2 linked regions of the Medicago truncatula genome follow. The main gene of each other region encodes a partner of the protein of the gene in region 2 in a complex. Links are inferred from orthologs where the notes say so. Each region holds a gene or a part of one and is shown on either strand. Other genes may lie near its edges.

Region 1 (3,470 bases), on a different chromosome or scaffold from region 2:
CTTTGATTAATTCGGAGATTGCTCCATCCTCTCCTCTCCAATTCATTCTAGATGAAGTTCTGACGTCTAGATTGGGATCATTCGGTGTATCTTGTCAACCGCAAGTTTAATAAATGTGTTGATTTTATTACTTCGTCGAGACATAATTCCTCTTTTATTTATGTATTGTTGATAATTCCTCCATGTGTAGCCACTAAACTTCTAATTTAGTTGTGAAGTAGATAATTTATGTTTTTAGGCCTCACTTGAACATTGTCATTTCAAAGTTTGGTTTAATGTTTTCATTATATTGAAGTACCGTTGATCCTTTGAATTTTAGTGCTTCATACCAATTATTATTGGAAACCTTCAACACTAAACTATAAACTTCAACGTAACTTTTAATAGTATCTAAAACATACAATAACCCAGTAAATAAACTCATTTATCAAACACCTGTTTTAGCCAAACATGTTTACAAACTAATCAAATACAATATAAGCCAACAGATGATAAATACTAAACATAACTTAAATCGAGTATGACGCATTTGCTTTGTACAATGACACGGTGACAGAACATTAAAACGCAATAGCTTAAAAAACAAATGGTTAATCTTATTCTCATATATATGCTGGGTAAATTAGGACCTTAAAGGCAGTTGCACAATAAAAAATGGTGTTAAAATACAACAAATGATGTACCAAAATGCACAATGTGGGATAACAAATCAATTGCAGCCCATCTTATTCCTCTAAACGGGATTCAAATTCAACAGCACATGATTATACATAGTGAATGCCAACAAAACACCTTTCTGATACTCTTTTATGATTGATTCATTTCTAAAAAGGTGGGTATATTTTTCAAAAGTGAGACAACCAAATCAACTATTAAAAAAAAAAAAGTCTAAATCATAAAGAGTGTTCAAGAACATGTCAAGAAAGGTGTTGCAAGCATTCATCTGATATAAATGCTCCTTGGTAGCTAGCTAATATCGGTTAAACTGAGTCATCAGAGTCATCAGAGTCACTCCTGTCAGCATCCCCAGCGTTTGTATGAGTCTCTGGAACATCATTCTTTGATGCGGATGTAGCTGCAGGTTTTTTATTAGCACCTCGAGCATTCTCACCACCTTCTTGCTCAGCTACTTCCACATGTGAATCTCAGTCAAGAAAATAGCCAAAGGTTGTTTACAATTAACAATATAATGAAAGCAAAACACTTGCTTTTGTCATTGATGCAAATGCAAATGCAAATAGATACTACAAGCTATGCCATGAACCCCAGGTCAGATAGAGAAATGAGTTATCAGGGCAAAGAAAGTAATCGACAAAAAAATCTCAACAGACCTCCATTTCAAAGAATTTTTTTAAAGTGAAATCGTAAATTTGAATCTAAGACTTAGAATGTTTACTAAACAACTGCTTAAAACAAACAAGATGAAAGGATATCAATATTTTCAGCCGTTCCTCCAGCAATGATTTTGAGAAGATCTTTCTCAACACGAGAGACAAGCTCAGGCTGGAAAACGAAGAATGAAAACACATGGTAAGTAAGGGACACACAAACGCACAGATAATAGAGCGGCATCAGGTATGCTAAGATAATGCAAGCACATATGAATATGTTACATTAAGGTCAGGCTCTCTGCGGAATCTACGCTTACGGGCATCTCTCATGGGAGGGGTGAGACCATGTCGATACTCAATTACATCTGGAGCAGCATCACCAGATTCCCTCACCATAATCATCTGTTAATTGAATTCATTAAGAAGGCAATCAGTTATTTAATCATCCAAATCTAGGAGTATGATTAAGAATAAACAAATAATATGAATTAACGATAGATACCTGACCTGACCAATATCAGCAGTCTTAACCAAAGAGTTATCATCATAAGTCTTGTAAGATTCAACGACAGCAGGAAGGTCCAGCAGAGAAGCTGGGAAATGCTCATCCCCAATCACAAACGTTCCGCTTCTTCCATCATCGCTAAATTGCAAATCTAGCGACTTGTCTTCAGATGAAGAAGCATTGTTTTCATTCAAAAGACGCTCAATCCGCTCCGCAACATTAGGTGGAACTCTAAGTATGAATTGCTCCTCCATATCTAATTCCATCAGGTTGTTTTTAGAATCATTACAAATAGTAAATAATAATATAATCAAATTGAATTGAATTGAAGAATCGGGCATTGCAATTGATTGGTTTCATAACTGCATCAGTATATACCAATAATCAATGATAATCAGCATTCATGAGACAATTCCAATGGATTTTCAAATGAAATTTCACAAACAATAAAAGATCAAAATTGATTGGAAAAACAAAAACAACAAAAAAAAAAGGATTTTTATTACGAGCACGATATCGTGAAGTCTTTAATCAGTGATTTTATCTTGAACTGAGGCCCATGGATTTTTAAAATTGATTTATTACGAGCATGATTACATTGAATGTTTCCGAAATAACTTACAAAAATCAAAAATTGATTGAGGGCTTTCGAAGAAGAGATGATAAGAAACAATTTGATCGGTTCAATTTTGGAAGATGAGGTCTGTGGCAGCCGGAATTCGAAAGTGACGATGGCGCTAGGGTTTTCGGATTGGAAGGATTTGCGAGAGAAGAGAGAGAAAAAGATGAAGCAAATGAAGGGGATTGAAGAAAACACGTGGCTTTGGTTTGGGTCAGATTCATCATTCATCCAACGGATGCTATTGTTGTCTTCTCTAGGATGAGCTTATAACCGTTGGATCTAAGTTTAAAGGAAAAAGTAACAATTAAGGGTATTTTTGTTAGCTAATTTTCCCAAAAAATAATTTAGAGATTATTTTATAAAGATATTATGAAAAAACAGAATCAATTTGTTTGTTTTTTTTAATAATTCAGTTTATTTGGATATAGCAGTGTATAAAAGAGAGTTTACAGTTTTGTTTTTTTTTTTGCAAGAACCTTGTAAATAAGGATTTTTTTACGTTATACCTCAATGAATTGGAGGTAATTTATCCCTTTTAAAGAAAAATCTTTTTTATTTTTTTTTCGATCAAGATATTTTTATATCTAGAACATCAATGATATTTTTACTTTTTTTTTTTTTTTAAAGAAGTTAAATTAATCCACCTAAATTAACACTGGAGATAATTGTTGCAAAGGGTGAAAGGAAACATTGAAGAGTGAAGGAAGATGAGGGCTTCATTGAGATTTACCGGAAGAAAAAAAAAAAAAAAAAAAGACCGGTTCAAACTACGGAAGTGATCATCGAAAAGATATCAGAAAAACGAACGTCCTATTTCTCTTTAATTTGAGTTATTTATTTTGGGGTTAAATATGTTTTTGGTCCCTATAAATATACCAACTTTTCGTTTTAGTCCCTTTAAAATTTTCCTTCAACTTTTAGTCCCTATAAAATTTTCAATCACTACTTTTGGTCCATCTTTTAAAGTAAACTCATATGTAGAATTCATATTTTTGAATAAAATTTTGCAGAC
Region 2 (3,759 bases):
TCCACAAAGTATATATATACACTTGTAAGAGACTTCTTTTTTATCTACTTCTATTGAAAAGACTTAAGTGCAAACATTAGTAGATCATCATGGAATGAAATTAAAAATACACAATTAAATAAAATCCAGAATTATGTTCTATACAAAATGTGAATAACATTTTAATGTAAAAATATCAATAGTCCTTATTTTTTTTTTTTGAAATATCAATTCTCTTTATAATTGCTAGGGGAGGACGAGTAAAAATTGGTAGGAGAATGAAAATTTGGTAGGAGAATTCAAAAAGTTAGCTTTTAAAATTTTCATGTTTAACTAGCATAGTTAAATAAAATTCATAAAATACATTTATCATCTTCCATAATTTGAAATATTAAAAAAAAAAAAATCATGTAATCAAATTTTTTTTTATAAAGAAATAAAAATAAACAAATATGTCATTTTATATTTACCAGTCATTTTACCAAACATTTTAATTTTAATAGGCTATATTTTCAGTTACAAGTTATCAGTAATTAACTATAAACTAAATTTTTCCCTTAAAAAAAAAAAAACTATAAACTAAATTTTCAACTATCAACCAGCTTATATCTTATTTTTACCAACACACCATTTTTTATCTCTCTCCGTCATATATTATGGACTATGAACCATTACCAAACTTATTTTCAAACCTTGTTAGCGGATGGTTTAAGCGTGTGTCCATTTCAACGACGTAGCTGCTGTTTTGTTTTTCTCTTTTTTCATGTAATAAAAAAAAAACATGATTCTGAATTTATTATTTATCTGACCTAAGTAAAAGAAATTGCTGAAAGTAACAAAAAAAAAAAAAGAAAAAAAAAAGGAGAATGGCCGTAGGGATAAGCTGTTTGCTATAGGCGAAATAAAAAGGAACGCGAATAAATTAAAACGAAGAGAAATTAGCGAGGAGGGGGATACTGCAGACGGAGCGATAAATCACAGATCTATCTATTCATCGGAGAAGAAGAGAACATAGCAGAGCGCGTGCGTACTTCTCTCCCTCACGCGCTTCTTCGATTCTGGTTAACTCTTCTTTCCCCTCTTCGTTTCTTCATTCCATTTTCCTGTATAAGAATTGAATTGCAGTAATTTCGTTTATTTAATCAAATTATCTTCGTTCCTCTTTCAAATTGCTAGATTACTTCATTTGTTATCTCTTTCATTTCCTATTGCATATTTTGCATTATCGTACAACAATTATTTTTTCAATTTGTCACTTAAACCTATGATATTTGCAGCTTCCGCATTCAATTTTGAACTTATAAAAGTGATATAGATTCGTTTTTCTTATGATTTGCATCCATAGTCTTATTCAATTAGGTTAGCATTTTCATACGGTTTCACAAGTGCTTATGTCAGTTGATAAGCTCAAATAAGTCAGTCCAAACAATTATGTAGTGTTCGCATGCTATTTAGTACAAAATGTCAAATAGCTGTTATAAAGAAGCTATAACATTATCGCATAGCGGAATCTGATTAAATCACTATTTTCCGCGAACCGCAATTGACAATACTGGTGTCAAGTATCTTGCTTCTTTTACAATATTGTATTTAGTTTTTACACTGTTAAAAGAAGTGACGTGCATTTGTTTGTTTTCTCAGAGCTCTGTGCTGGTTCTCATTGCCTTTTATTTCATGATATTGAGATTCGATGGCAAGCATTCCTGGAAAATTTGCTCCTTCTAATGGATCTATCTATGTTTGCAACTTGCCTTATGGGACTGACGATAATATGTTGGCTGAATATTTTGGCACCATTGGAGTAATAAAGGTATGGAGTCTGCAACTATCCTTCGATTCAAAACAATGCTATGTTATTCTCCAATTTTATTTTTCAAGGAAAGGAAATTTTACAGGATTTAGGAATATAACTACCAGAACGTGTTGGTAATGTTTGTGACTTTATTATGGTCAGTTTGGAAATTCATATTTCTATGTAAGATGTGATTACTTGAATGTTTTTTTTGTCTGTCCTTGCAAAGTGAGGTTTATTTGGGATTACTGAATGATTGATTTGTTTTTTTTTTTGTTGCATTTTGATTTCCTATTTATGCGGTTCTGTTTTTCTGTGTTGCGTTCTATTTCCAGATTATCATTCATTTTTCATTCACAATCCATGTTTTGCAGAAAGATAAACGTACAGGGAGACCTAAAATATGGTTATATCATGACAAAGAGACTAATGAACCAAAGGGAGATGCTACTGTGACATATGAGGATCCACATGCTGCCGTGGCTGCTGTTGAGTGGTTTAACAACAAAGATTTTCATGGCAATACAATTGGAGTTTATATAGCGGAGTCAAAAAACAAGGATGACCAAACATATACTGCAATAGCAGAACCGGTTGTTGCGGGTACTGATGTCGGACCAGAGGAAACTGAAAGTGATGTCGATGGTGTTAATGGAAGAGGCAGAGGTCAAATTGATGCTTCCAGCAAACCATGGCAACAAGAGGGCGATTGGATGTGTCCGAATACAAGGTCTGTGATATGAGATCGGTGAGCAGCTCTTTCTTGCTCTTTTACACATTGTTTCAGTCATAGTTTTTTGCAGAAAGAATAACACTTTTTTTTTTGTCATAGCAGTTGCTCGAATGTGAATTTTGCTTTTCGGGGTGCGTGTAATCGCTGTGGAAGTGCACGCCCTGCTGGTGCTTCTGGCGTTGCAGGAGGAGGTGGCCGTGGCAGGGGACGTTCTGGGCCAGATGCAGGGGGTATTGGCCGTCCAGCTGGTGCAACTGCAGGACTATTTGGTCCCAATGACTGGCCTTGTCCAATGTACGATTTTGTCACATTATCCATCCCCACATTCTTTCCGTGTGTCTGATTTATTTATACTTGTTTTTTATTTTATATTTTGTTTCTCAATTCTAATTCACTATTTTAGCGATAACAATTAACACATATATATTTCTTATTAAATTTGATAAACACGTTGCCCAGTTTCATCAATTGGGTTACTCATTACTTGTTGTGTTGTATTATGTTGGACGTAGTGCTGGCGAACAGTTAAGCCACAAGTAAATTGAATATGATAGTGAGATATATGTTTGTATATGTATAATACACAAAGACAACATACTCTTGTGAATGAACATGGCTCAGAGAAGAGTTAATGATACCTGTTTTCTTTAATTGATACCTCCTGATTTTGCACTTTGCAACGTTGGCTGCATGAGATTTGTTAACTTTGATAAGGAAATTTTATAAACTAGCCAAATTGCGTTCCCTTTTGCATTGAGTATTAATTTTGGCACATCCCGACCCAATCTATCATTTTATCATCTACTATTCTAGTTCTCTATGAATTTTAAAGGAAGCAATCATCATGTGAGAGGTTGATTGAGTGCAAATCTAGTGGCCTTTCCAATTTATATAAGGTCAACTGATTCTGTTACAATTTACAGCCAATAAGTGTTTATAGGCTGTTGATAATATGATGATGACGTTGAGGTGAGCTTTGTAACTTCTTTGACTTTGTTGTTAACCTCTCCCCGGGTTCTGGTTCTTGTCCTCATCTACTGAACTTCTCTTTCCTCTGTCTCTTTTGTCCTTGTGGGTTGTGACAGGGTTCCAGTTGTTGTAGCAAATTTAGGACTAAGATTGTACACTGTTGGAACTTGGGAGTGTAGTGCAAGTTGGCTATATGATATGGGGCTTATGGTCAGTTATATTATCACTAGTTTTTATTCATTTTGAATGAGTCTTGCTCTGCTTAACTGAACAGGCTAATATGATA

Evidence for each region.
Region 1: transcription initiation factor TFIID subunit 15 (region 2) and transcription initiation factor TFIID subunit 7 share a complex: the UniProt entries of both Arabidopsis thaliana proteins name them as parts of the TFIID complex. The link is inferred for Medicago truncatula from reciprocal best matches to the Arabidopsis thaliana genes TAF15 and TAF7.

What each region holds. Positions count from the first base shown.
Region 1 is NC_053044.1:41,304,584-41,308,053, reverse strand, and holds transcription initiation factor TFIID subunit 7, read right to left. Parts: upstream 2,654-3,470; 5' UTR 2,459-2,653; intron 2,093-2,458; 5' UTR 2,091-2,092; coding exon 1,839-2,090; intron 1,734-1,838; coding exon 1,614-1,733; intron 1,504-1,613; coding exon 1,434-1,503; intron 1,139-1,433; coding exon 981-1,138; 3' UTR 576-980; downstream 1-575. UniProt on the Arabidopsis thaliana protein: TAFs are components of the transcription factor IID (TFIID) complex that is essential for mediating regulation of RNA polymerase transcription.
Region 2 is NC_053045.1:36,236,773-36,240,531, forward strand, and holds the start of transcription initiation factor TFIID subunit 15, read left to right. Parts: upstream 1-843; 5' UTR 844-1,040; intron 1,041-1,620; 5' UTR 1,621-1,669; coding exon 1,670-1,789; intron 1,790-2,145; coding exon 2,146-2,501; intron 2,502-2,606; coding exon 2,607-2,798; intron 2,799-3,759. UniProt on the Arabidopsis thaliana protein: TAFs are components of the transcription factor IID (TFIID) complex that is essential for mediating regulation of RNA polymerase transcription.